Linked DNA regions of Pelodiscus sinensis. The protein of the gene in region 2 purifies or fractionates together with the protein of the main gene of each other region. This does not show direct contact. Links are inferred from orthologs where the notes say so. Each region holds a gene or a part of one and is shown on either strand. Other genes may lie near its edges.

Evidence for each region.
Region 1: the proteins of GLS (region 2) and SIRT5 purify together in Homo sapiens (affinity purification with western blotting; 3 studies listed by BioGRID and IntAct, with this or other methods). This does not show direct contact. The link is inferred for Pelodiscus sinensis from reciprocal best matches to the Homo sapiens genes GLS and SIRT5.

What each region holds. Positions count from the first base shown.
Region 1 is NC_134712.1:105,929,498-105,945,081, reverse strand, and holds the start of SIRT5 (NAD-dependent protein deacylase sirtuin-5, mitochondrial), read right to left. Parts: upstream 6,314-15,584; 5' UTR 6,207-6,313; coding exon 6,159-6,206; intron 3,048-6,158; coding exon 2,909-3,047; intron 1-2,908. Other genes in the region: kinesin-like protein KIF13A, read right to left, coding at 14,610-14,896. UniProt on the Homo sapiens protein: NAD-dependent lysine demalonylase, desuccinylase and deglutarylase that specifically removes malonyl, succinyl and glutaryl groups on target proteins.
Region 2 is NC_134717.1:66,947,709-66,962,897, reverse strand, and holds the start of GLS (glutaminase kidney isoform, mitochondrial), read right to left. Parts: upstream 6,186-15,189; 5' UTR 6,093-6,185; coding exon 5,791-6,092; intron 5,330-5,790; coding exon 5,267-5,329; intron 1-5,266. UniProt on the Homo sapiens protein: Catalyzes the first reaction in the primary pathway for the renal catabolism of glutamine. Plays a role in maintaining acid-base homeostasis. Regulates the levels of the neurotransmitter glutamate, the main excitatory neurotransmitter in the brain.

The DNA.
Region 1 (15,584 bases), on a different chromosome or scaffold from region 2:
CTCCACACGCAGGGTGCCTGGCACCCCGCCACAGCATGCACAACCCCAGTGCCAAGCTCCATCCCCGCAGGGCAGCCCCCCTGCTGGGGTCCAATTATGCAGGCAGCTCTGCTGGCCAGCAGCAGAGCTGCCAGGCTTTTTGCTGTGCCACCAGGCAGCCCCACTCCCAGGTAGCCCCGCGGTCAGGCTCCCGGCCCCACGGGGCAGCCACGCTGCTTCCCAGTCCTGCTGCATTGTCTGGTGGTACCAGGGCCGCTCAGCTCCTGGTTGTGCTGCCAGGCGGCCCCACTACCTCTCTGTCTCACTGGGCAATTTTGCTGCTGGGCTCCAGTCCTGCTGCTTCCTGCCCCCCCGCTGCAATGTCAGCACTGGATGGCAATCCTACTGTTGGGCTCGTGGCTTTGGTGCCACAGGGCAGCCCCCACTACTGGGCACTAGCCCTGCTGTCGGGTTCCCAGCCACCAGACCTCCACCAGGACTCTCTGGTCCTGGGAAATCCAGTCCTGCCAGACCAGGGATGTTGCCAGACCAGAGAGTCTAGGTTAAGAGAAGTTCAATCTGTACAGCCACAGTTGCCCCCGAACTGTGATACAACCACCTTAAAATTCTTCAAACCTCATGCTAATTAAAACAAAAACATGAACTGAAAATCTAGTTAGTGTAAAAATCAGTAATTATAGCTTGTGGTATTATACTTGCCTCTGAGTTTAGATATGGCTTTGAATTATAGCAAACAAGATATTTCAGAATGAAATTTGAGTTGTATGTCAACGGCATCCCTGTAATTTGAAAGCTGTTAAGTTATCTGCCCAAATTCACACAATTTAAACCAGACCATATACCTTCTAGGAGACTGTGGAGGCGGATACCTGACTAATTGTATTTTTCTACTACAGTCCAGTGTATTAAGCAAGATCTTTCGAAGTTAAATCTTTAAATATAATATTTTCATGTAGATTACCCCGTGGGGATTTGAACAGCTGTAGCATTACCAATGCACCCTGCTTGTGAGTTGGTGGGAGTGGTTTTACTAACTCAACTCCTGCAGAAACCTTGTAGTGTAGAAGCTGGGAAGTAAATTTCACTATGAATATGCAAGACAAATCTAAATATATAAACAAAAATATACAGTGACTAGGGATGTTAAATATCAGTTAACTGAACAGTCAATTAACATAATGAATTCTTATCGGTTAGTTGACTATTGAATAGTCCCTGGGCAGCCCCTGTCTGGAGTGGGATGGATCTGGACTCCTGGACCTGGCACAAGTCGTAACTAAGCTGGCCTGGCTTCTTATATACTTTAAATGCAGAGCTGCAGGGGAGTAGGTCCAGGAGCCAGTGCAAGCCAGGACTGAGCTGGGCTGCTGGCCAGCCTGCTAAAAAATTTACTGGCAAGGGGTGGGGGGAAATGTGTGCAGTCTACAGCATTAACCTATAAGCTTTTGCTTATCGATTAATCAGTTAATTGACTATACTATTACATCCCTAACAGTGATACAAATATATTTCCTATTTTATAAATATTGAAATAAGACATGTTAACGGGAATAGCCATTTTGACCCCTAACTATGCCAGGAACTTGGCAATCATTCAGCATGATTGCAGAGGTGACTTTTAACAATTTTAAAAAAAATCCAAAACTAACAGCTTCACAGCCACACTTTCCCTCTTAAATACTTGTCTTTCCAAGAAGCTCACTTTCAAACCAAAATATAGACTGTGATTATTAAAGCCTGTGAATTTTCAAATTGAAGCTTTATTCAATTATCATTCTCCTCTTCATTATTACAGCTGTAGTGATGCCATATTCATGTTGAGACTAAATTTCCGTTGCAAACACCCATTATGAGACACGTTTCACTTTGACAGGTTACCTTGAAGGCTGAAATTTCTCATACTAGGTCTAAGCCTAGAAGGATTTTTTTAAAAACTTTTCAGTCATTTGAGTTCAAAATGTAAAAACACATACAATTTATAATATTTTTCATTGGATATTTTTGCACTCAAACACAAAACTTTTAAAAACTTCTAGCTTGCATCCACAGGACGACTGATCTGACCTGTTTGCAAACGTTAGGGTTAAAAAGATACAGAAACGCAAGGAATGTGCAAACATTAATTTCCCATAACTCTTCTAAGGATACCAGATGTCAGGCTTCCAATGTTCTCTGAGGCAGAGAACTGATACGTCTATCTCAGAGCCAAAAATGATTCAGCAAAGGTGACTGGTGATTTGAGTCTTGCAATCTTTAAAAAGAAGTATGTGCAGCCATTATACACCCCGGCTACGTCTACACTGGCCCCTTTTCCGGAAGGGGCATGTAAATTTCACGAGTCGTCGTAGGGAAATCCGCGGGGGATTTAAATATCCCCCGCGGCATTTAAATAAAAATGTCCGCCGCTTTTTTCCGGCTTTTAAAAAAGCCGGAAAAGAGCGTCTAGACTGGCCCCGATCCTCCGGAAAAAGTGCCCTTTTCCGGAGGCTCTTATTCTTACTTCTTATTCTTATTCTTACTTGTAAGAACAAGAGCCTCCGGAAAAGGGCACTTTTTCCGGAGGATTGGGGCCAGTCTAGACGCTCTTTTCCGGCTTTTTTAAAAGCCGGAAAAAAGCGGCGGACATTTTTATTTAAATGCCGCGGGGGATATTTAAATCCCCCGCGGATTTCCCTACGACGACTCGTGAAATTTACATGCCCCTTCTGGAAAAGGGGCCAGTGTAGACGTAGCCCCCATTTGTACAATATACTCTCTCTAGGTTAGGACATTTATTTTGCTCAGTACTTTGTGTCTACAACAATGCTGCTCAACTTGAAGAGGCTGAAAACTCAAAGCAAAGAGAAAATTTACAAAATATTTGCCTGGACAATGTACAGAAACAAATATGGGAACAAATGTATCTTACTTGATTTAAAACGAGCCATTTCTAAGCAAATTCGTTGTTTCTTGGAAGAAGGTGGCTTAAGTCCACAATATGCTTGTGAAACCAGCCTTCTAGTGGTAAACTGGAAAAGACTCATTAGGATCACTTTATAGTTCTTAATCTGAAAAGAGACATCAAATGAAAAGTGATATGAACACGTTTATATGGCAAAGACTATATAGCAAATATATCCTTAAATGCTCCCTCTTTTGTGTCACAAAAAATAATTTTACTATTACATCCTCCACTTTGTTTATCCAGACCAAGTATTGCTTATGGGTAAAGTTCAAAATCCACAGTATTTCAAGCTTACAGAACAATCAAATAATACATATTACAAAAAACCATAAAAAATGTAAAAGCCAGCCAAGCCTACTCTTCTAGAAAAAGTACTGAAATGCTCATATTTTTTCCAGGTTATTTTCCAGATATATACATTTTTTTACTTGAACTAAAGGTAAAATAGCCAATTAATATTGCCCCCCATAAAATAAATTAATTCTTTCCACTGAAATGTTACACTGTGAATCTTGAGTCTTTGCATTGAAAACATACAGTATGATCTTCTGGGTTTAATAAACAAAAATGTGATGCTGTACAGACACAGTAATGCTTAGCCTATACAGTATAGGGCTTTTAATACTCCAATACAACCATTAACTAATTCTGAGATTTAGTCCCACTTTTCAAATGGTAGACGGGGCAAAATTTACAAGTGGAGTAATCTATTACACTCATTTCACTGGGAATCGTATTCCCTTAAAACAAGGCAGGTGAGACAGTAAGCATAAGGGTGCCCAAGTGCTTAGTGGGCCAACTGGCTAAGACCATGCAGCAAAGCCCAGAATTCAGATTTCAATTCTGGTATTTAGCCTGATAGATCCAATCACATCTCAGCACAGTACAGCTGCTCTATCCTTTCTACCTTGATTTTCTAATTTTCCTTATACTATGTAACATTTACAAAGAATGAACATACTGGAAAGTGTTTATAAGTCTATTTCCTCTTTAGTGGTACATGGAATTTAAAGTATTTTAAAAGGAAAACAGATAATCTATATAAAAATGAAGGGAAGTAATGAAAAACCCTTCACCTTTACGTTAATAACAATCATCATATTTTTTCCTTAAATAGAATTTTCCTGGATATTTAAAATCTACAATATTTTCCACTGACTCAGATGTCCTTACATTCCAATCAAAAGAACCACCTCCCCCTATGTTTTGAAATTGCAGAAGGAAAAAGCCACCCACAAAACCATAATACCTTATAATACCTCATGATTCTCTTATTATAATATTGAATGAGTAATTTAAAATATTTTAAACAATTTTAACTATCTGGTATTGATGACAAAACATACGTAGCAAGATTATACTGAGGCAGATAATCAAATGCACTTTAATTACTGATATCACAGCATAATAATTTTCTCTATCAAACAGGGTAAAAACATTAATTTGTTCAAAGATACATTAAAAATTATATTCAAAATAGAAAATACACCTACAGCTTAGACAAGAATTTATGCAGCTGAGAGTGTTTAATGATTTGTTTCACAGAGTAACAAAGTATAAAAATAAATAACAGTATGTCAAACAGAAACATTTACGTCCCAACTCCTGCAATGATAGACACAGAATCTGTTCTCAGACCTAATCTTTGGTTGTTTACATTCATGCAACAATTCGCAGGACAACAGACTAGAATTTCATTGAGGAAATGGTTTGTGGGAAGAATAAGAAACAAAGGGAAATCTTATTCAAAGTGTCATATGGTATACACATAGGAAAAACCTTTACTTGCTATCTTCTAGACTAGAAAAATGTGAACACTAACCATTTAAATGCAATGCTGCACCTAGGGTAGAGGTATAGACACAATTTAGAACTAATAGCTGGTTATATTAAGCCCAAGGGGGAGTGTGGGTTAAACACAACATATCTTGCCCATGTTATATGCTAGGAGTCTCTCTAGACTAGGATAATAGGTATTTATTTTTCAAATCCACTGGGATAATCTTAACCAGCTAACACATTAAGGTTTGCTTCCCCTTACTTCAAAGGGAGTAGAAAAATATTTATCAAAAACTTACACTCATCCAGCCCCAGAGTCTCTGAGGGTTTAAGAAAAGACCTGATCTACCAAGGTATGCTGAAAAATAAGGACTCTAAGAGCAGGGTATTTTCAGGCATAAGACTTATTTATCTGCCTCTCTCCAAACTTTGTATAATTAACAGGCCCTTTTTGCTAAATATAGTTTTTTGGCATGGGAAAGAATAATTCCCTAGGTTTCCAAATTTCAACAGGAACATAGAGAAGAGCTAAGAAAAACCACTGAAGAGGTCCAAATGGTAGACAAGATGATGCCACAGGTGGCTATGAACATGTCAGATGGCTTATGGCAATTAGTTTTACCACACAGCATGCCTCTTGGTAGCAGGCATCTGATACATATTGCATAGCAGGTACATGTGACTATAGAGGACATCCAACAAGTTGGATGGAATGCTCAACTCCCTTAAGGATTCAAGGGTGATGCTGAGGTTACTAAGGATCTACACCCTGCCTAGGGATATAAATGGATGATCAGTTAACCAGTTACCCAGAAAGCATTGCTTTACCAGCATGTTTACTGGGGTAACCAGTTAACTGGTATCCAGCCAGAGTAGTCCCCTGCCCATGGTGAAATGCAACAGGCATTGCCTGGCCAGGCCCACAGCGCCACAGGTAGGGGGCGGAGGGGGTGGGGGAAGGGGCTGCTCCCGCAGCCCCACCCACAGCATGACAAGATGGGCCGTTTAATAAGTTAAATATATAGTTTAACTGGTTAACATTTTAAATGCAATTTTCATCCCTACTACACCCTGGCACCTTATCATGTCTAATCTAGAAAAGAAAGCTGAGAGAACAACACAACAGTCTTCAAGTATTGTTATAGAGAGGACGGCTATAAGTGGTTCTCCATGTCTACCAATGGTTGGACAAAAATAATTGGCTTAGTTTGCAGTAAGGGAGGTTCAGGTTGGATATTAGGAAAAAATTTATTAACTGCAAGAGTAAAGATCTGGAATAGGCTTCCAGGAAGGCTGTAGAATCCCCATCATTGGTATCTAGGAACAGGTTGTACTAACATCTGCTACTAACATCTGCTATGGTCTAGGGCAGGGGATCTGAACCTTTTTCTTTCTGAATCCCTTCCCAACAGTCAATAAAAACATCACAACCCACCTGTACCACAACTGTTTGTTGGGGTTTTTTGGGGGACAGAAGGGGCATATAAAAGCCAGGAAGAGAATTAAGTACAGTAAAACCTGTGTTATCCGGCACACTCGGGGATTAGGGCGTTCTGGTTATCTAAAAATTCTGATTATCTGGGGGTCCCCATCAACCTAGGAAAAAACAATGGACAATAATAGTAAAACTTAATATTGGTAGTTTTGTAATGTGAGGCAGTTGATCTCACGTTTCTATTTTGAGTTAAAGATGATTAGTACTACTTAAATAACAAATTGTTAAGCCAATCATGGTAAACCAAGCCAGGTCTGTCCGCCTGAAGACGTGACAGTATTGTGGCTGAGAGCAATGTCCTCAAACTTAACAAAGTTTCCTGGTTAACAGAGTGCCGGATAACAAACGTTTCACTTTATTAGCTAGCATGGAAAATCCTTAGTGCCCTACAAAACTAAGACCTTGTCTAACACTAAAAGGTGGTCACTGCTGTCGTGATCTATCTTCTGGAGTTTGATTTGTGAGTCTAGTTAAGTCTTGCTAAATCTAACTGTGAGGGAGCCCCCGCCAGCATCCTGTACACCCCCTTTTGAGAGATACAAGGGAAGCTGATGGGAGCCTTTGCTCCTATGGGCCTCCCGCTGTGGGGACGCCACCAAGCTCGGCTTAAGGTAAACCAGCTCCAGCAACTCGAGCGAAGATCTGGCCTGAGTTGCTCAGGCTTTGGCTTCAGCCATGGATGGTGGGGCTCAGGGTGCCAGAGTGCAGTCCCTTATAGCAAGGCTTTCCCTTTCTAAGGGAATCTACTGCTCACCATGCTTGGCAGCCCCCCTGAAACCTTCTTGCAACCCCCTCCGGGGTCAGACCCCCGGTTGAGTAGATGCAGTCCTCCCTCCCTCAGCACTGTTGAGCTATTCGACATCTCCAGCCCTGCATCCGTATGAAAACACAACTGGCCCTGTGCACACCCGGATTTTCAGACAGGCTCGGGCTGGGCCTCCCGCAATTTTTGCGGGGCTTGACAAAAGCCAGGCTGGATCCAATCCGAGCAATGCCAGGGGCAGGCAAACCCTTATGTGCGTCGGCATCACCCCCGCCCTGTGCCACCCTTACCGCTCCGCCAGGCACCGCGCATCACAGCCCCCCTGCCCCCCGTCTCTGAGCTCAGTCAGCCGGGCCGGGCCCCTTCCAGCGCGAGCAGGTGGCAGCCTAGGCCGCAGGACGGAGGCGGCTCTCGGGCAGCAGAGACCCGGGCCCCGAGAGGCGGGTCCCGCGGGCTCCCCCTGCCGAGGCGGCTGGTGCGGGGCAGGGCCCCTCGCGCCCCCGGGGCTCCCAGGCCCGCCCCGCCCGGGCCGGTACCCACCTCGGCAGCGGCTGCTGTCCGGGCCCAGCTGCGGCCGCTGCGTGGAGCGCGGCACGTCCCGCCCCGCCTGGGGCCGCCGCGGGGAGGAGCCGGGCCCGGCCCAGCGCAGCCCCCGCCCTCCCGCGGCTCCCGCGGCTGCGCCCTTCGGGCCGGCGCCTCCTCAGCAGCCGCGCCTCGTGCCCCGGGACTCGCCCTGCGCGGGCCGCGCTTGTGCCAGCAGCGGGGATGGTCTGAGGCCCTGCTCGGGGCCGCGCCCCCCGCATCTGAAAACCCCGACCCTAAAGCGCCGAGCCAAGCAGCGACTGGGGAAGTGATTTTCAAGGAGCCAGCAAAATGCTGCTTCATTAAATGGCCAAAACCTTAGAGCACAACTGCACTAAGTGGCTCTCTCAAGTAACCTGACATGAAAAACAGCCGAGGAAGGGCAGAGGTAGACGTTATAAATGGAGAAAATGGCCTGAGCCAACATTGTCAGTTCAAACGTCCTTGAACTTTGGGAAATTTCCGGTTTGAACTACACCGGTTCAGTGTATTTCCAGGGTCACACTTCTAAAATATAGGTGCTACTAAAGTGGTGTAAAAAAAAATTTAAAAGCCACAGAAAAGGTCAGGAAAACGCCATAAAGGAGGCATTTTTGTCATTTCCCCACATTATTCAATTCAGAGACCAGATCCTATAGAGCTGCAGTGAGCCTGAACAGCTCTTATAACATCCCCTACAATCTTATGTCACTAACATTTACCACACACCAAGAAAGCATACATAAGAACAACCATATTAGGTCAGATCAAATGTCCCAGGGTTCTGTCTTCCGACAGTGGCTAATAGCAGATGCCCCAGACGGAGTCAACAAAACAGGGAATCACTAAGTGATCCCTGTCCTATCACCCATTTCCAACCTCTGACAGAAGCTAGGGACACTCTTCCTATCTATCCTGGCCAGTAAGTTTTGATAAATCTAACCTCCATGAATTTATCTAGTTCTTTTTTGAACCCTGTTAAAAGTCTTGGTCTTCAACATCCCCTAGCAAGGATACATATTTTTAGAATGTAAAATTAGTTGCTTGGCTTAAGTTTCAGAAGTGCTAGTTTTATATGCATGCACTGCCACAGTTGTTCAGCTGTTGTGGAATGAAAAATCTGCGTATTGGGGTCCTTGTGGGTGGTGGATCTTAATTGTAAAAAAAAACCAATTTGCATATGTCCACACATTTCATATTTTGTCTTTGATAGTAACCTTGGAACTAGGCTTGGAAGATTAAGGTTTTTGTCAGTATATGTTGATTTCATTGTACACATACACAAATTAATAAAAATAATTCCATCAATACTAATCAAAATTTAAGTTAAGCACAGTAAGAAAAATACTGCTTGCAAACTTTATAAACCATAAAGTGGGATTCAAAAGTATTGTAACAGCTGCTAGTAGAGCTGGAGCAGAGACATTAAGTAGGTGGGGGGGAGGGATTGGATAGATCACCCCCCTCTTGCAAGCCCCTGCGCTTTACAGCTGTGTGTGTTCATTTTAGGAAGAGGAGGGGGGTACTAAGGTGTAGATTCTGCAAAGTCAGGGTATAGCAGATACAGCCTGCCCCCATAATTTTACACAAGAGTAAACATTTAAATTGAGAACTGAAAAACTCCCTAAAATATTATCCAAAGTTATAAAAAAAATCAAATTCTGCTAAGCCTACTTAACAAAAATGAAGTTTTCTATTGGTGTATATTTAAAACACAGGAAACAGAACTGTTAAATTATGACAAATTAACTGAGTATAAGTGCAAAGAACTACGCTTAGAAAAGAAAGATGAAATACACAAATACAAAATGAGTAATAATTGGCAAGGCAGTAATATTGCAGAAAAAATACTATGTCCTGTCTCAATGTAGAGGCTTGGGTGAGATTAACTAGATTATCTCTTTACCCCTTTCCAACCATACATTTGTAGGAGTATTTGTACTTTGTCAGATAAAACATAGGTGATACTATGGGAAGCAACACATTTAGAATGACTCACCTCTAAATAACATGAAAGTCTGGCATACACAGAATTTAGTCTGACACAAGTACACTACACAGGTGTGAAACCCACAACCATGTGCCATACCCATTTTGATCTTACTCCTTGTGAACAAGTAGCTAGGTTGACAGAAGAATGCTTCTATTGGCCTAGCTAGTGTTGGGGACATGATGTTCCTGTAATGACAAAATGTCTCCTTTGTTGCCATAGGCTTTGTCCACATTACAGGTTTATGGTAGCATAGCTAAGGGGCCAAACCTATGCTATTATGATTCCCACTGCATAGATCTGCCTGAACAAAGCTACTATTTATAAACTGAAAAAGCCATAAAATAGCAGCCTATGAAATCTTTAGAAGATGTACAGCTTGAACAAAAATACACAGATTAAATCAATAGAAGGCCTTTTATGATCTACTCAAATACCAGATGGATCTTGATTAAGGTTGAGTTTCATCTATCCCATATTGTACGGTATTCTTTGTGGGGGTTTTTATGTAAGCAAGAGATCATTATGGCAAAAATTCTGTTCTGTGTTTGGCGTACTTTATTAAGTGCTGCAGAAGACGGTGGTACTACATAAAAGGAATGGCTAGGAAATATCTTTGGAGTTGTGTTACACGATCAGAGTAAAACATCTTGGATAGTTAAATGTTAGCAGTTTATACACGAATAAAAAATTTCTTCTAAAATCTCCGGCGTTCACCAGCTAGATTTTCTCTCTCAAGAGATGAGTTATATCTCATGCTAACTTTACAGAAGGGGAAAATGAGGCATGGAAAGGTAAAAATTTGTCGATAGACACGAAATAGCAAATATCTAATAAAAGTCATTTTTCATATTTTACTTCCCATGAACATGTCTCTCCACTTAACTTGTTTTGGTGAAGGACATGGTAATGGGGGTTATAACAAGATTCAAGAGTTATAAGTTGAAGCTAGATAACTCAAACTAGGGATGTTAAAATCAGATTAATCAACTAATCGAAAGTGGAATTTCCACTGACTATTTGATTAGTTGATAAGGGCACTTTGCTTTGAAATGTAGCAAGAGCCTGCCCAGCTATTGCTAAATTTTACAGGCAGAAGTGCCACATGGAAGAGCACAAGCAGAGGCTCTCGTGCATTTCAAAGATTGAAATGGCAGATATGGAGCTTGGGGCCAGCAGGGGCCCGTCCCCTGCTGGCCCCAAGCTCCATGCAGCACTTCCGTTTTGGGATGCTTGTACATTTCAAAGGTGAAATGCTGCTGTTGCGCCCCTAGGCCCCCCCCCCCCCCGAGCTGGAGTGAACTGGCTTTTAAGCCATCTCCCCCCAGCACTCCCTTCTCCCCCACACCTTGCTTCCTCTGAGAGAGGCTGGGGGGGGGGGGGGGGAACAACTAGTTGACTAGTGTGTCAGCTATCTGACAAGCTTGCTTATCAGATGTAATAGGGATGTAATTAACTAGTTGACTATCTGATAAGCAAGCTTATCAGATACTTAACTAGTTAATTACATCCCTAATTCAAACTAGAAATAAAGCATAACAGTGAGGGTAGGACGGAACAACCTCCACATGTGTGATGGGTTCTCCATCACTGGAAATTTATAAATCAAGATTGGATTTAAAAAAAAAGATAAACTGTCATTCAAAATGAATTTTGGCATGTCCTAGGGCCTGTGTTACACAGGTGGTCAAGACCAGATTATCAGAATGATCTCTTCTTGCCTTGGAGTCTATGAAACATATGGGATTTGCAGAATAACAGGAGTTGCAGTAAGTACAGAGATCACAACATATAAATAGTTCTTGAATGGATGTATAGTATTCAGAAAGGGCTGATTGGTTTGTTATTTTTGTGAAATATTGTTACAGGCTGCATATTAACTCAAGCAAAGCTATCCTCAAAATAACTGAAGTAAATGCATATTTTGTATTCATGAATGCCTAGAATAAATACAAATATGTATATTAAACACCATCGTAAACCAAAATAACATTGTATTTTTCCACACAATGATGTCCACATTTGTTTTTAAATAATCCATAATAATTGTTTGGGGCAACTACAGTAACTTTTTTAGAAAAACTTTTAAAAACATTTTAACTTATAGCCTCAATTTAGATTTAAAACACCATTTTGAGATAAATATTTGGATATGTTTTAACACCATGTATTATCCTTGATAAAATACTTTTACACAAAGGAATTCTTCAGTTACAATCCTGATGAGAATTTCTTCCATTGATGCAACTTGATCAGTTCTAGGTAAACATCAATTCTGTGGACTGTTGCTCTAGGTACATTGTTTCCCAAAAAGCAACTAATACACATTTGGGCATAGCCAGATACACTGTATTCTGTCATTACTGAAACTTCGTAATACATCAGTGGTCTCCAACCTTTTTAACCACAAGATCACTTTTTCAATTTAAGTGCAATGTAAGATCTACTTCAAACCCAAATACCCTGGTCCTGCTTCCTTCCTGCCACTTAGCCCTGCCCCTGCTCCACCCCTTCTCCGAGGCCTCACCCTGCTCACTCCATTCCCCTTTCTCCCCCATCCTCACTCCCTTTCACCAGGCTGGGGTAGGAGGATTGAAGAGCAGGCTCTGGTCTTGGGCCAGGAGTTTGGTGTATGGGAGGGACTCCGGGCATAGCCCAGGGCAGGTGACTGGGATCCATAAGGGGTTTCAGAGTGCAAGCTCTGGAAAGGAGTTTGGGTACAGAGGGGGACACATCCGGGGCAGGTGGTTGGGTGTAGGTGGTGGTTCAGAGCTTGGACAGGAGTTCAGGCTCTGGCTGGGCACCGTTTAACTGAGATGGCTTCCGGGTGGTGGATCAGTGGGGTTAAGGCAGGTTTACTCCTGCTCTGGCCCTGCACCACTTCTGAAAGCAGCTGGCACGTACAGCAATGGCTTCACGGCACCATGTGCTGGCCTTCAGCTATAGGCACTGAGCCCACAGCTTCTGCTGGCCACAGCTCCCCATTATTGATCAATGGGAGCTGCAGGAGTGGTGTCTGCAGGCAAGGACCCGATGTGGAGACCTTCTGCTCTGCTTTTCTCAGGGGCTGCAGGGACATGCCAGCCACTTCCAGAAGCAGCAATTACCACAGGGATAATCACTCCAGCCACAACAGGTTAGGCATTGTAGAACTCACTACTCAAAGAATTAAATTTAAGTGTAAGAGAGAAATGCACAGACAAGTAAAAAACCCAAAGCTAACACACTTTGCAAGTAGTAAAACTAGTAACAACCACCACCCAGATATTGGGTGTTGGGTCAGGAGATGAGAGTGAAGGACAGCATGTGTTTATGAAAATGACAGACACACAGTGTGAGCGACAGATATTTGCATTGCCAAGCTCCTTCCATCCCCTCCTCTCTGCGTGGAAATAGGGTACAGGAGTGAGGGGAGGATGGGCACCCTGACATCAGCACCCCCCCCTTCTCCCTCCCACACCCTGCACAGCAAGCAGGAGGCTCCCAAGGAGCAGCTCCAAGGCAGAGGGCAGGAGCAGCGTGACAATGTGGATGGGAGGAGGGGCAACTGAAGTGCCAGTGCTTGAAAGCTTCCTAGCCAAACCAGTCAGGATCACCTGTCAGAAGCTCCAAGATCTACCAGGAGATCCCAATCTACTGGTTGGTGACCACTGTATTACATGAACCAGTCAACTGGATCAGTATTTAATACTGTCCACTCTCCTCCTCCTAAAAGGTATAGTCTCTTTTGATACATATACATGCTAAAGAGGTGTATACAATATATCCCACTGGAGCACCAAAAATGTGAACTAGCAAACTTATTAAATCTATTTTTTAGAATGAATCCTTAAATACAGTCCTGAAGTAAAATACAAGCAAAATAATCTTTTTAAAAATCTGAAATAAAGTCTGTATTCTAAAACAAAGATCTGTACCAATTAAATACAGAATGACAGAAATAGAATATAAATTACAGTTCTTTACAGTAAATAGTAAAATACTACAGTCAGCTTCATATACACAAAATCAAAGACATAACAGCAGCTTTTCATTAAGGTCCCAGGTATCTCATTCATTTCCTTGGCTAAGTAATAAAGAAAAACAGGTACAGCAGGTCATTCATTTCACTTATTTTCATCACATGTTCCTTTACAAATATCCAGGACAATGTACAGCCATCTACAATATCTACATGTGGAACAGCTCTCAAGAACTCACAAGCATTGTATATATATCCCTCCATCATTTCCATTATTAAAATAGACTATGCAAATTAAAATTTTAGAATGTTCCGTTTTAGCTTGATCATAAACAGTAAACAACAGTGCAAGGTTTGCAATTGTGATCCATTACAGCTGCTTTGTTTCCCCATTTGCCTAAAAGCCATTTTTAAAGGAAATATTGTTCTCACTTCTTTGCAGCAATACTGTTTCTGCAATCAAACAGCCTGGCTTGGATTAGCATATACAATTCCCAACATATAGCCCCGACATTGTTTTGATTTTCAATACAATGCCAAGTCACCACAGTGGCAGGCCTCTTGGAAGACCAAAAAAAAAGACTATTTCAGTGTACTTAAACATAGAACATAAGGCAGCATAGTGCCCAATGACTACAAAAAACATGGCACCAAGCTAGTAGTTAAAACAAATGTTTACAATAAAAACAGGATATGAATAGCAAGAGTGTCAGTCTAATACAAGTTCTTTGGTAATTAAGAACAGCATAGTGTAGTTTTTTCAAATATAGTTTTACATCCTTTTTTTCCCCAAAATAAAATATTTTCTTTTTTTGTTTAAAATACATCTCCCAAATTGTTGCGTAACAAATAGTCCAGTACCTCAAAGTATCTACAAATCAGCTTTAATTGTATTTTAGTGTGCAGCCATATCTGCCTATTGGTAAACTAACTCTAGACGCACAATATATATATATATAATATATATATATATTTTTATAAAAAATTAGAGAATTAAGTCCATGACTCTACAGAGTGCACATTCAGTATGGACAGATGAAGACTGTACAACGACTTTTAAAATCTATAAAGGTTTCTACACTGTAGTGTGTGTAGCAAGTGCAAAAATACTACGGCTTATTTAATCCAAGACTTCCTGTTCTCTTGTTTCCTAGAAAATGCAGAAGCAGCTGCATCTCCTGATTGAAAGAAGGGTGTTTCTCCTGCTTTAGAAGATGATGATGACCCCTGAAGTATGGAACTTTTCCGCTTCTCTAAATTTGAGGATGCCTGAGATTCTGAAGTGCTACTGCATTTCTTTGTTGAAGCTTGTGCTTTACTGAGGCGGCCTGGTCGAACGAACAAACCGTGTTGTGGCTTGCAGTGGAAATACTCTCTACCTTTCACAGTTCCATCATGTTTCCCTAAAATGGAAAAATAAATACATGGCATTTATTTTTAGTACTCAGCCACTATATGCAGTTTCAGTATGTATATGTGGTGATTATCCTTAAATACACTGTGTACTCAAAACTTAAAGCTTTTAGTGGTGAGATCAGAAGTACATAACACACGTGTAGCAAAGCATTCTGAGCAATGACAACTTTTCACAGTAACTATTAGCTATCATCATAATAAGGTTCAACATTTATTCCCTTTACAAAAGTAACTTATTTCACATTAGAATTTATTTAAAAAACAAAATTTCAGTTCACTGTAAGGAGGTTAAGTATGGAGTAAATGACTAATTGTGTACTCAATACAATTTGTATCAAGTACATGATTAGTCAACAAGGGGCCACTGCAGCTCTGCAGTATAAATGTTGTAGAAGCCAGGCATGCAAGCAGCCCAGCTCCTACACTACGTTTAAAAGACAGAGGCACAGCATGGGACCCAGCATGAGCCAGGACTAAAGCAGTCCTGGCTTGTGCCAGGTCCCGTGCTGTGCCTCTGCCTTTTAAATGTAGCAAGAGCCAAGCGGCTCTCACTACATTAAAACGGCAGAGCCGCAGCACTACTTTAATGAGGACAGGGCAGATATTACCTCAACCTTCCCCAGATACCAAAAAAAGGAGGGGGAGGGCGGGGGCAGGGAGAGGAATTGAAAGTGC
Region 2 (15,189 bases):
TTGATTGAAAATTATATATGATGTACATTAATACAATTGCAAAGTTATTAAGACTGCAAAGTCAACTACTCTATTGTTCATTTTGCCCCCTTGTGCATCCATCCCATAATCTGAATGAGACAAGTCCTGTGGAAAACAATAATGTTATTGAGTAATCAGACGACCATAACACATATATGCATAAAAGGGAAGAATTAAGGTTGAACAGGAGTCCATAAATTTGGCGTTTCTAACTTTCAAGTGATTAAAAAAATAAAAATAAGTTATTTAGGCTAAATATGTCATTTCCTAGGTTGGTTTCACACACACACACACACACACACTTGTTCTAAACCATCAGCACTGCACAACCAACAGTTCCCACTTGAGTTACAGAACAAATAAATATGCTAGGCTCAGTGTTTGTCAACCTTTTTTTTTTATAAAGTACCCCCTTTTTTTAAAAAAAAATTATAAGTACCCCCAGCACCTACAGTTTTCAGACACATGTTTTTTATTCTACCACTGCAACACATCTGTTTAAACAACTAAATTGTAGCCGGGTATAATAAAGTGCTGTAAAACTTAAAACAAAAATTCAGTTTTCTCCAAATTTCAGTTGTGTTGATGTACCCCCCAGACTTTTCTCAAGTACTCCTGGGGGGTACTTGTACCACTCGTTGAGAAACACTGCTCTAGCTGACTAAAGCTGCCTGTTATTCTAGGAGGCAGTTCACCAGTATATCCAGGGATGGTGTGGAGAACTGTAGTCCTCTCTCCTCCAGGAATAGGGGGCGCTCTAGATCCATATGGTGCCCCTGAAGAGGAGGGAGATGGAGGGGAAGGCCTAAGACCGCTCCAACTTCCCAACAAGGAGGGCACATGAAGCAGCAGCATTTGTGCACTATTATTAACTGTCAGAGACTGAATGTAAATCAGAGTCATAGAATCGGAGTTAGAAGAGACCTGTGAAGGTGATAGAGACCAACCCCCTACTAAAGGCAGGACCAATCCCAACTAAATCATACCAGCCAGGGCTTTGTCAAGCCAGGACTTAAACTCCCTCAGCTTCCTAGATAACCCATTCCTGCGCTTCATCACCCTCCTAGTAAAATAGTTTTTCCTAATGTCAACCTAGACCTCCCACACTGCCACTTGAGACCATTGCTCCTCATTCTCTTATCTGTCACCACTGAGAACAGCCTCTCTCCATTCTCTTTGGAACCCCCCCCCCCCCCCGCTTCCAGTAGTTGAAGACTACTATCAAATCTACCCTCACTTTTCTCTTCTGTAGACTAAGTAAGTCCAAATGCCTCAGCTTCTCCTCATAAGTCATGTGCTCCAATACCCTATCACTTTTGCTGCTCTCCACTGGACTTCCTCCAATCATTCACATCCTTTCCGTAATGGAGTGCTCAAAATCGGACACAAGACTTCAGATGTGGCCTCACCAGTGCTGAATAAAGGGGAATAATCACATCCCTAGATCTGCTGGTAATGCTCCTACTAATGCACCCCAATATGCCATTAGCCTTCTTGGCTACAAGGGCACACTGATTCATATCCAGCTTCTCATCCACTGAAATACCTACGTCCTTTACTGCAGAATGATAGAAACAAAGTGAACAGGAGAGATAGACAAATGGAAAAAAAAAGTACAGGCAGTCCCCGAGTTACGCGGATCCGACTTATGTCGGATCCGCAGTTACGAACGGGGATTTTTCTCGCCCCGGAGGACTGGAGGGCCGGGACGCCTGGTCCCGCCGCCTGCCTCCTCCGGGGCGAGAAAAGCTGCTCCCCGTCTCCCTGGTCTGTTGGGGGAGCCAGAAGACCAGGGAGACGCTGAGCAAAGCCGCGGAGGACCCGGCCAGAACCGCGGCGCTTCCAGCTGATCTGGCCCGGGTCCTCTGCCGCTTTGCTCTGCATCTCCCTGGTCTGCTGGGGGAGGGGGGGGACACAGCTAGTGCCCCCCCCCCCCCAGCAGACCAGGGAGACGTGGAGCAAAGCCCGGGGCCTGTGGTAGAGCAGGTGGGGCGCTGCCGGTTGGTCCCGCAGCACCACTCCTTGGCGCTACTGGACCAACCTGGCAGCACCCCAGCTGCTCTGCCCCAGGAGTCCTGATTCAGCCGCTGCTGATCAGTTTCAGCAGCGGCTGAATCAGGACGCCTGGGGCAGAGCAGCTGGGGTGCTGCTGGGTTGCTCCAGTAGCGCCGAGGAGCAGCCACGCTACTGGACCAACCCAGCAGCACCCGAGCTGCTCTGCCCCAGGCGTCCCCAAGTTGGCCGCTGCTGAAACTGACCAGCGGCTGACTACAGGAAGCCCCAGGCAGAGTTGCTCTGCCCCGGGCTTCCTGGAATCAGCTGCTGATCAGTTTCAGCAGCAGCTGACTTGGGGACGCCTGGGGTTCTTAAGTTGAATCTGTATGTAAGTCAGAACTGGTGTCCAGATTCAGCCGCTGTTGAAACTGATCAGTTTCAGCAGCGGCTGAATCTGGATGCCAGTTCCGACTTACATACAGATTCAACTTAAGAACAAACCTACAGTCCCTACCTTGTACGTAACCCAGGGACTGCCTGTATACCAGAACATTAATTTGATAGTAATTTCTGTGATTTCTCTGCAAAGGGAAACCGTTATTAAGCATGGAAATTTATATTTAAGGCTTTTAAAAAAAACACCTTTTGATTAAAACACATCGATACATACAAGATAAATTTAAGTTGCAAATTTTAGTGAGCCCTAAAACTTTGAAAACTGCTAGCTCTAAAATCAGCCACCAAGGATTGCTTCTCTAGTTAACTGAGCTTAAAAAAGTTCTCCCCCAAAAAAACATACATGATTTTCTGGTGGAAAATGGGATGGTATCTGGGGACAGGAGGTCAAAAGAAGAACTATAAAAGTCATATCCTTAATTACAGGAACAATATTCAGGGCTTGAAAATTCACTAAAGCTTACATAACAGCTGAACAATCTATGAATTTCCGTATAATTTTTCACATAAAAAGTTAACTTTGTAAAATTTTCAGTTGCAAAAATTACCCTTTATACCATGCTGAGTGTAAAATATAGTACTATTTTCTTGAGTCTCCAGACAACTCCAGTGACAGCTGCTGCTCATAGTTTTGTACAATTTTTGAGCAGCTAAGTGACAATGAATAACTAGGGATTTTACTCCTGCCCTAAGGAACATTAACTCTTGTCAATGTCATGCTGCAGCATTTCAAAACCATGAGCACCAGTAAAGACAGATACACAAATTTTTATACTGAATCAGTGGTCCATTTACTCCAGTATCCTGCCGTCTACAGTGGCCAGTAGTTTATTTTTAAAGGGCTCTATACCAAGTTGGTTCTTATTATCCATGTTGGAACCCCACTAAGCTATTCACTTCAGTTAGCATGCACCAGTAAGAGCCACCAGCTGTGTTGCATGAAAAAGTGCTTCTCTTTATAATTGTACTCTTGTCATAGAGTACAGCTATCATTTGTACTGTAACACTCACAAAGTAGTGTGCATTTGTCTTGAGTTTTGGTAATTGTAAGATACTACTCTCTGTGCATTAGGCACTAAAGCTTGAAAATCAAAATAACTACAGACTATCAAGTGCATCCATGTGTCAAAGAAAACAATGAAAGTTATTTTTAAAATGTAGCATGTACATTTTGCCCCATGGGTGATCAAGTAGTATTTTTTCGAGTGATAAACTGATTAGACATTATTTAAAATTTGCACTAAAATCTTAGTGCACTGATACAAGATATTATTTTACAGACTTTGCCTGAATAACTACTTTGGAATTAATCTACAGACAAGAATGGTTAGGAATTCAAATTGGGGAGTGAGGATGCTGCCCTTTTTGCATTAGTATCCATCCAAGTATGTGTTTCTTTCACTAAAATGACATTACCTTGACATTAAAGTTCAATAATGATATGACGTGCATTTAGAATCATAATGGAAATTAGTTTCATTATTAATTTATATTTATGATCATTTATGAAACTACATCCACAACTACATCCAAACTTCACATATGCAGAAAATATACTATGCATACACATTATGGGTATTATAGGAATTTAATAATACAACTTTCATAGCTCCATAGTGGGGATGACCTGCCCTCAAACAAGCCAAAGCTTGGGGAGAGAGAGAGAAACAGACACAAAGCTCTGAAGGGCAAAAGAGGAAAGCAGGGAGCTAGACAGCATATTTTCTCTCTTCTAGGAGACTGAAGAGACAGAATGTCACATTTACAAGACGGATACATACAGATTGATATGAAAGATGAAGCTCTTCAGCTAGAATCATGGGTTCCCAAACTGGGGGGCGTAAAGGAATTCCGGGGGGAGGGGAGTGCAAGGCAACCCAACCCCTCCGCCCCCATCCCCTTGCTATTTTTGTTTTTTGGTCCAGGTCAGTTCCTTTTTTTTTTTGCTCAAGTTTTTTGCTGGGGGAGGGGGAAGGTTTCCCAAAAATCAATAAGGGGCCTGATGCCAAAAAGTTTGGGAACCACTGAGCTAGATGTTCTAGCATGTTTTCCTTTACCAGGAGTCAGAGCATTTGTGAGGAACCCAAATTTTTAAATGAAGGTTTTGCTCCCTTGACCTTAATAAATAGAATTCTCATGTGCTTTGTACCTTTTTCTAATATTTAGCCCAATGATGAATTTTAAGCCCTCAAATATTAAAATGAGCTTAATGAAATCAGCTTTTCACTGCTGTCTGTCCTCAACACCTGCCCGCCCTCACCCAACCCTGAGACCAATACATAAATTAGGATCAATCCACCCAGTTAGTCCCATAGGCACATTCCATGGGAATTAGTGTAAACACGTGTAATGCACAACATCGTTAATTCTCTCTCTACTAATTATAGGTTGGAGATCAGGGACTTAGAGGTTAACTTCTAAAAATCACAAGATGTAGCAGTGTAATTGAGAAGACCATTGCAGGAGTGCCAATACAGGAGAGAGTGCACTGAATTCACCTTTAATAATATAACAGACATAGTATTTTTGTTCAAACAAAATATCATTCCAACAAAAAAGCACCAGAACATATTGTCTTATCTGAAATGTATTCCCCCTTGTTTCCCATTTGATTGAAGGACACATAAATAGCATGTTCATAATGTGCTGAATCCTACTGAAATTCGCAGATAAAATGCACTATACCTAATTATAGAAAGCATTTTTAAAAGCTTATTTTAATATTAGAATACATTTACATCAGAGAGTCCGAATACAAAGCCGGTGCCAGCACTATTTTGAGATTTTTTTTTACTTAATATTGACGTACACGGCACTATTTCCTTTGGCATAGCTGCAGCATGTATCTGCTTTTCCCCTTGAGGGAGGGAGAGATACCCACAACGAGTCAATACACCAAGCGGGTAAAAGCAGTCAAGTATTTTCTCTACGACGGGAGAAGCAGAACAGTGAAGGAGAAGGCACAAGGCAGGGTCTAGGATTTCCCACCCTCCGCGGCGCTCACCCTGCCCCTCAGGATAGCAACACGCCTGCCCTGCCCGGCGAGGGACCCCTCGCCCACTCCAGCCCCAGACGCGCCGGCTTGCTGTGGCGGCTTTGCGGTTACTGGGAGCTTGCGACCCGGGGGAGGGTCGGGGGCCCAGAGCCCCCAGCACCTCCGCCGGCCCGGCGAGCAGCCCTCCAACGCCCCACACGCGAGTCCCCGCCCAGCCGCCGCGGGAGGGACCATCCATACAGCGCAGGCACGGCCCGCCGCCAGCAGCATCTCCCCGCGTGGCGAGCGCCTCAGCCTCCCGCCGCTCCCCCCCCCCGACTCACTTGTCCCCCCCGGCTCCGGCCAGCTCCTGGCCGCCGTTGAGGTGGTTGTTGTTGCCGCCGTCGGCGGGCGGCGCCCTAGCGGACAGGGGCGGCCCCTTGCCCGGCTCCTGCAGGGCCCCTTCCGAGCGGGTGCAGACGCTGCGGACGGGCGGCGGCCCCCAGCAGGGGGAGGGGAGCGAGCCAGCGCCCCAGGCGGCCGCAGCGAACGGGGCCAGCGGCCGCCTCACCGCTGAGCCTCCGCCCCCCGCGGGCTGGCCGAGCCGCATCAGCTCCCGCAGCAGCACAGAGCTCCAGACCCGCATCCTGCCGCTCCGCTTCCTCCCGCCGAGTGCTGCGCCTCAGCCGCCGCGCCGGCCAGCCACCTCGGGCAGCCCGCCCCGCGCCTGCCCGGTGGGCGCGCACCGCCTAGCTGTCAGGCGCTTGGCCCGCCCATTGGTCACGCGGGACGCCACTCACAATCCGCCCCGCCCCCGCGGAGACCAGACTGAAGCTGTGGCGCACTTGGCGTCAGAGGCTGCTCGGTTGAAGTCAACGGCAGAGCCCGCGGGGCAGGGAGGGGCGGGCGAAGGAGGCCGCGCGCCGGCCCCACCCACCCGGGGAGGGGGGGAGACCCGCGAGGTGTGGCGTAGCGTGCCTCATGGCGCGGGAGGGGCGAGGCGCTCGCGCCAGGGAAGCGGGAGGGTCTCGGCCTCGCGCCCGTGCGTGCAACTCGCCACGTAGAAATGAGCTCAGGCTCGCCCCTTCCCGAGCGCCGCAGCACCAGCCGTCTGAAGGCTACGGGCGGGCAGGGAGTGGTGCCTCCAATGCGCACATTCCTGGTTAAAAACTGCTCTCCCTGCAGACCGTGAGGTGTTAGAGCTGGCGTGGAACGTGCAGCAGGAGAGGATCAGCCAGCTGCGTGTAGCAAAAACTTGAGGAGCTAAATATTTTGCCCTTTTCCCCCGCCCCTCCAAAAAATAAAAAATAAAAAAAGCTCAGCCTAGGAAAGGGCGCAGGAAGAGACGTTTCAGGGGTAGCCCTGTTAGTCTGTTTCAGAAAAGGGGAAAAAAAAGCCCCATGGCACCTTTAAAGACTAACAATTTTGTTATGTCATAAGCTTTCATGCGTTGCAACTCATGAGAGCACCGACTGCGGTACTGTGTGTTCTAGTTTCTTTAAAAAAAAAAAAAAAAAAGTGCTAAAAATGGACACTGCTTGATCTGAGCCAAGGCCAAGCCAGAAGCTTCTGGGCTAGAAGTAGACTGGAGTTAAGGATCGTCACACGTTACCATGGGTACAAATGACTCATGAATGATCAGCCAGACTGCCCCCTAATGGAGGAGAGAAGACAAAATAGTTGGCAAAATGATTTGTCATTTCTTACAGACTCATCCTGGTAACAGAACAACTTGATTGCCCTTAGACTAAGTGTTGTCAAGTGCCTAAAATAGCATGTAAACAGTGTAGTTACGTACATATTTTGCTTATATTAATTCTATGAAATAAGAGTCCAAGATTGCCATACAAAAGTAATAATATGAAGTCAATTGTGAAGAGATGGAAACAGATACAACCATGGGTAACAGGCTTTTTACATTCTGGATATCACCAGGTTCAATCACCACTTGGAATTGCAGTCAGCATCCAATGTCTTACATTATCAGCTATTTTGAGCTTTAAAAAAAATACAGATGTTTTCATGACATACTCATGCAACAGCATGCACTTTCACCTTTTCACCAGGGACTCCAGCCCCAGCCCCGTGCTTCTGCAGGCTGCCATGGGGATCCATCTTGGCCCCACATTTCCAGGGTTGCTGCAGGGCTCTGGTCCCAGACCCAGACTCCAGGGGGCTGCTGTGGGGGCTCTGGCTCTACACTCCCGGGGACTGTCAGGAGAGTCCAGGCCTGTGCTGTTGCAGAGGCTGCAAGGGAAGTCCAGCCCTGGCTCCACACTGCTATGGGGGTCCAGCACGGGTCCTGCACTGCCTGCAGCTGACCTTGTTTTCCTCAGCCTGGCTGTCCCTCCTGCCCTTAGGTTCCCGGGCTCCTAAGTTCAGGAGCATCCTTGGTCCTGCTGTACTACAGATGTTTCCAGATCAGAGAATGCCAGTTTTTAGAGGTACCACCTGTAATACATCATGAAAATCCTCCAAATATTAATGATTAATCTGTTGAATTGGAGATTGCTCATTTCTCAATGACTTCATAACTATCTGCTTCATTACCTTTGATAAATGAAATAACCAATCATTCATTTCATTTTGTGTTCAAAATAAATCACTATTTAAAATGTATAGTGTCTACCTTCTAAAAATGAAACCTACATCTATCTCTGAGTTGTGAAAAAATTAAGGTTATGACAACCAACAAGACTGCACTTTTATGTAGAAAACCATGTTTAAATTGAGTCTTAACTAGTGATTTAAATAAATGTGATTTAAATCAAATCCACCCTGGTTAAAATACTTCCTTTTGTTTTAAATTTGCTGCCTATTAATTTCATTTGGTGAAGCCCTAGGTTTTTTTTTTTTTGTTATAAGTAAATAACACTTCCTTACCTATTTTCTCCATACCTGTCATGATTTTATAGCTCTGACTCATATCCCCCTTAGTATCTTTTCCAAGCTAAAAAGTCCCATTCTTATTACTCTCCTCATACAGAAGCCGTTCATACCCCTAATCATTTTTGTTGCTTTTTTCTGAACATTTTCCAAGTCCAGTATATTTTTGGGAGGATGGAATGAACACATCTGCATATGGTATTCCAGATGTGGACACACTATGGATCTTTATAGAGGCAATACAAAATTTTCTCTTTCATCTATATCTTAATGATTTCCAACATTGTTAGCTTTTTTGACTGCTGCTGCATATTGAGTGGATATTTTCAGAAAACTATCTTCAATGACTCCAAGATCTCTCTCTTGAGAGGTAACAGCTAAAACATATCCCTATTGTTTTATATGTATAATTGGGGTTATGGTTTCCAGTATGCATTACTTTGCATTTATCAACATGGAATTTCATCTGCCACTTTGTTGCCCAGTCACCTAGTTTTGTGGGATCTTTTTGAAACTCTTTACAGTCTGCTTTGGACTTAACTATATTGAGCAGTTTTGTATTTGCCAATTTTGCCATCTCACTGTTTAGTCCTTTCTCAGATCATTTGTGAATATCCTGAATAGGATTGGTCCCAGTTTGGGCCCCTGGAGAACACCCCACTGTTAGAACTGAAAGTTTTATTCTTTTTATATTTGTATTTTACGTTTAGTAATATAGTAATGTAGTTTAATGATGTAACAATAATATAGCAATATAAGGTATATGTTAATACACATTTAATATTTCATTAAATTAAGTCCTTTTAGTTAAATGTCTATTGCTTTGTCCTAAAGTTTAGTGAATTTAGTAAATGGGCCTAAGTAAAAAGATTTTTTTGGCTGTGCCGCTGATCTGGAGGTATAAGTTGTCTCCAAATTGGAAATAATTGCGGGTGAGAACAAAGTTACAGATTGGCAGTGGTATCCTCTGGCATAGTGTTTCTAATTGCTTGTTATCACCCCTAATATCATCACCTCACAGACACTAACTTTCCCCCCCTCGCATTTCCCCTCTGTTCTAAAATCTGATTTGTCAATTTTATATGTGTTCACTTTTTTTTTTATTGTATCACTTTGGTATTTATGGTCGTGCCAATTTTCTTCCATAAAATTGATCTGAGGAAGTGGGTCTGGCCCACAAAAGCTCATCACCTAATAAATCATCTTGTTAGTCTTTAAAGTGCTGCATAGTCCTGTCTTTTGTTTCAGCTAGACCAGATTAACATGGCTGCATGTCTATCACAACCCACTGTGACAGCAGTAGGACTTCACGGTCCTGACCAGTCCAGTCCAGGGACAGGACTAACATCATCACCTATGCTGTGACCTGTGACCAGAGAGGCAGATTAAAAGCAGTGGCCTAAACAGCCCAATTCTTGAACAAGTTTGCCAGATTCTGGAGTGGGTGCTCAGACCATGTGGTGGGCTTGTGTGTCTCTTGCAATGAGGATGCAAGTACAGGCAGTCCCCAACGTACGCGGATCCGACTTATGTCGGATCCACAGTTACGAACGGGGCTGCCCCAGAGTACACGGACTGCGGGACCTCGCGGTCCTGCCGCCAGTGTACTCTGGGGCTGTCTCTGCGTCTCCCTGGTCTGCAGACCAGGAAGACACAGAGCAAAGCCCCGGAGGGGCTAAGGCAGCCCAGGGCAGCCCCCCCCCCAGCCCTCCCCCTCGCGGCTTTGCAAAGCCGCAGGGAAGCCGGCAGCGGAGCAGTCCAGGCGCGCCTGGGCTGCCTCGCTGCCCGAGCCCCCCCCCCCGCAGCTTGGCGCCGCCCGTGTCTTCCTGGTCTGCTGGGGTGGGGGGGGCGCAGCTAGTACGCCCCCCCCCCAGCAGACTAGGCTTTTCTCCAGACGCCTGTGGCAGAGCAGCTGGGGTGCTGCCGGTTGGTCCCGCAGCGCCACTCTGGGCGCTACTGGTCCAACCCAGCAGCACCCCAGCTGCTCTGGTCCTGATTCAGCCGCTGCTGGTCAGTTTCAGCAGCGGCTGAATCTGGACGCCAGTTCCGACTTACATACAGATTCAACTTAAGAACAAACCTACAGTCCCTATCTTGTATGTAACCCGGGGACTGCCTGTACTACGTTGGAAGGTCAAAGTAAGATATGCCTCTCCAGCTACATCATGTTATCTAACATCATGTTTCCGCGCACAGCAGGAGGCCAATGGGAGCAAAAACTTCTGTCGGCATCCCTTATTCCTCATGAGGAGCAGGAGTACTGGCGTCAATGGGGGCACCCACTGAGTTCAGTTTAGAAGGGGTTTGACCTGCTAAATCAAACCCCAGAAGATCAACTGCAGCATCAACAATCCTCCATGTAGTGTAGACATGCTGAGTGCCTTACCCCCAGACTACATATTTCTGTTCAGGCTATCACTACTTGCTCTTACTATTTTGAGTACAAAAGAGTTCACACAAAGACACACTAAAGGCTCTTACAGTGAGAACACCAGCAAGGACATGAAGTTTTGCATGTAAAATCTCAAAAATGAACCTGATGTCCTATGCAGATTCTGGTTTTTGCTTGTCAAACACAATAGGTGCTAGCACAGTGTAAATGTGTGTAACCATTCTGCTAGGTTATGCCAGCAGCAGCCAGGGCCAGGTTCAATATCTAGGGGTTTCTCTTCATCCATCCAACACAAAACTGGTTCGAGCCCGCACCCAGTAATCTGGGAAATTCACACAACACCCCTGGGCACCTCTGGGAGGCAATGCTTCCCCACTCACAAACACAGAGTCTGAGTGTAAAAGAGAAACTTTTATTAAAAGGGGAGGGAAGTAACGTGGCATTACTTTGGGAAAACACCCCAAACAGAGTTCATAACCAAAGCCATGAGTAAACATCCCAGCTCAAGTAGGTTGGGCAATGGCCTTTTCCTCGCAGGCTCTCAAGTCCAGCAATGTAAATGTCCCCTTCACATGCCCAGACCTTCTCTTCACCCCACTCACAGTCACTGCCCTGACCAAGGGCAGATCTAAAGTTCAGAGGTGCAGCTGCAGAATTCACTTCCCATCCTGAGCGGGAGGAGGTAGGAGGCATTTTACTCACTCCGCTGGTCACTCATCATCCACCTGCTCGCTGCTGTCTGGCACCACTCTGCTGGCATTCATCTCACCTTGCTGCTGCCACTCGGCTGCTGCTCATTATCCCTCTGTTGCCACTCTGCTGGCTGCTCATCCTGCTGCTGCCACTGTGCTAGCTTCTCATCGCATCTTCTGCAGGCTTGTGGAGGATTTGGCTCTGGGCCAAACCTATTGATTTCAGCTCTGAGGGATTTCCGCTTGGCTCAAAGCACCATCCAGCCACAAGAGATTCCAGCATCCACTGGAGTAAGTTTAAAATAATAAGAGAGACTCCTTACAGAAATTGTTCTAGTTCTATCATTAGAACAGGGAGGAGAAACAGGTTGAACCGGTCTTACAGCTCGTACCTGGAGGGCAGTCAGAATCCTGCCCTCCCCAGTTAACTTCACAGAGCTTTGGCATGGAGGCCCTTGTCCATCCAAGGTTCTTTACACTGACAGTTTCTCTCCTCTGAGCTGAGTTAAACACAGTCTGACTTTTCTGCATTCCCCCAATACGTGCAAGCACTGGTGATCATACCTCACAATTCCTGCATGTAGTGTTAACACAGTTTGTGACCCCACAACAGTCAAATTGGTTACAATGGTGTCACACGGCTATGGGGATGACATGGTTCAGGTGGGGTGGATCACCTCGCCCCTATCGCACTTATCCCCACCCTTTTTCTCCCCAGCTGGTGCCTCTATTCCCACCCCCAAAGTCTGTCTGCTCCTTCCCTCTAGTCCCCTCATGGGAATCCTATAGGCAGGGCAGCATAGTTCAATAGTCAACACATGACCCAATGGTCAGAGTCGATTTGTGGGGGAGCAGCTGGGGAAAGGTTTACTTCCTACTACAGGGGGGGTCCAGGCCCTCCTACTCCACTGGACCCCAGCCCAGGGCCCTGTTAGTGGCATACCCTCACCACTGAGTCAACAGGGAAATCCTAACTGCAACACACTGACTCCCTGACAGTGGCTCACTGGTAGCTATTGCCGCTCCTGGGCTGCTTCCTGCTTCCCCGGTCTTGGCTCACTGGTGAGTCTCCATTTCACCACGGCTCTCTGCATTCTGGCTACTTCCCCTTATTTCCAAATCCAGCGTGGTCTCTACAGGCATCTGGTCACTAGCCTAGGTGGCAGTATTCCAACCTTTAGGTAGTTGCTGGGGCTTGCAGGGAGCTAGTTCAGCATGCTCCTCTGCTACCAGCCCCAAATGAGCTGAGCTGCTCCCTTTTATAGTAGTGTAGCCCAAGCATGCCCAGTAAGATACAGTGGGTGTGGCTTCCTTGGCTCTCAGGGCTGAGTTAACTCCCTCCTGCTCAGGCGGGTGGAATTCACGCTGGCACAAATGGGCAAAAAACCATTGTAGTAGAATATCTAGCAGGCCTATGCAAACTAATGAACTGTATTTACATGCACATGCCCAGAATCTCATTCTTTAAACTGAGAATGTTTCCCTCCTTTGTGCCAGGTTAAGCACACACTTTCTTCATTTGTATTTCTCCAATAATTACAGACATGGCAATTAGTATTAACATAATCTGTGACCCAACACCAGCTAAGTTGATTACAGTAAGCAAAACACCATTGTAATAGCCAAATATCTAACACCGTGGTCACCAACCAGTCAATTGTGAGGCTTTGGGCCCCCTTCGCTGCCCTCCATCCCCAAGATTAACAACGCACTGATGCTACCTCCAGGGACTACGGGGCTAACACAGGCTTCCTGTGAGGTTGGGGGTGGGGAGTTCTTCAGCTGTGCACCAGGTCCCAGAAGTGTGCGGGCTGCTCCCCCCCCCCCAACAGCTGGTGCAGTACCTAAAATGCCGGTCTGTCGTGCGCTGGGGACTTTGTTCCCATGCTGCCTTCCTGTGTGCAGGGGAGGGGCTGGGGGGCTGGGACTGCACCGGAAAAACAGTGACGATTTACTGTAAGAAATCAGCTGCTTTTCCGGAAAAACTATGCTGTTCCTGCTCGGGCAAAAGTCCTTTTTCTGGAAAACTGTTCCGGAAAAGGGCCAGTGTAGACAGCACAGTAGTCTTTTCCGGAAAAAAAGCCCCGATCGCGAAAATGACGTTCGGGGCTTTTTTCCAGAAAAGCGCGTCTACATTGGCCACAGACGCTTTTCTGGAAAAAGGGCTTTTCCAGAAAAGCAGCCTACCAGTGTAGACGCTCTTTTTCCGGAAATACTTATAATGGAAAACTGTTCCGTTTTAAGCATTTCCGGAAATTCATGCCAGTGTAGACACAGCCCAGGAGTTTTTCCGGCAAACTCGCTCTTTTGGTAGCCCCTATATTCCTCGTTCCATGAGGAATGAAGGGGCTTCCAAAAGAAGGGGGGTTTCTGACATTTGGCCCAGTCTGAGGCCTAACAACTGCTGAGATGCACAAGACAGTTACCTCCCATGTCTTACACACAGCTCTCCTGCTAACATACCCCAGAATATAAGCCTCTTTCCCTGCTGCAATACATTGGTGACACATTTATGATCAACAATCACTACTAGACGTTTTACAGCAGTATTGCTGCCTAGAAAAGTTGTTCCCCATTTTGTAGCTGTGCATTTGAGTTTTCTTCCTTAAGTGCAGCTTCTCCAGGCTCTGGACAAGCTGGCGGGGGCCTCCTTTGTCCCCCAGGAAGGGGCAGAACCTCAGGTGGAAGGGGCAGGCCTGAGACTAAGCAGCCATCAGCACTGCCCAGAGTGTGCCGTGTCTCCCCCAGGCAGCCCTCAATACTGCCTGGAGCAGGGGTGGGCAATAATTTTTGCCCAGGAGCCACTCCAAAAATTTTTGAAGTAGCCTCGGGCCGCCCCGGAAGGGGCAGAACCTAAACAGGAAGTGGCGGGGCTAACCCACCCCCAGTCCATGATTGGCCTGAGGATGGGGGAGCCCCTTTGCCCCCCCTTCCCACTAGGCACCCATGCCATGAAAGAGTCTTGGCATGCTCCCTCACCCCAGGCCAATCAGGGTCTGGGGATGGGGGAACACAGGGAGCTTCCTCCCACCCTTTGAAGTGCGCTGCTCACAGGGCCAGGGTAGGGTGAAGGAAGCTTCACGCAGCTCCCCTACCCCCAGGCCCTAATTGGTCTGGGGGCAGGGAAGCGCACGAAGCCTCCTCCACTCTCCCCCTCACCCTGAGAGCTGCACATGGCTTCAAAGCACCATGTGCTCCTGGCAGGGCGGGAGGAGGCTTCACGCACTCTCCTGCCCCCAGCCCAATTAGGGCTTGGGGGGAAGGGAGCAGCAGGGCCTCTGCAGGCCTGATCCACCCACTTGGCGGGCTGGATCTGGCCTGTGGAGGCCCTTGTGCCCACCCCTGGCCTGGAGTGTGGCACTCCAGCAGTGATTTAAAGGACCAGGGGCTCAGGCCACAGTAGCAACAGTGGCAGCCAGGAGCTCTGGGCCCTTGTGTATCACCAGGCCCCAGGGCACTTGACCCCTTTCCCTCCTCCTGTTGGCAGGCCTGGGGATGCCACTACATCCTCATCTGACAACAAATCATTAACTACCCTGAATATTGTGCACCCAATATGATCTTAAGAACTCACCAGTGCTAAAATTAGACTTTGTTTGGTTATAGACTTTAAGAGGAGAAACAGGTTTCTTCCAGAAGCAACCTGTCACATGTAGATTAAGCAGTATAAGCCAGGAATAACAGGAGCTACATTAGCAGGTAAAATTGAAACAGGTTGCTGAGGGATGGGAAGACAACATGGTGTTAGCACACTAGGAACAAAACAATAGGAG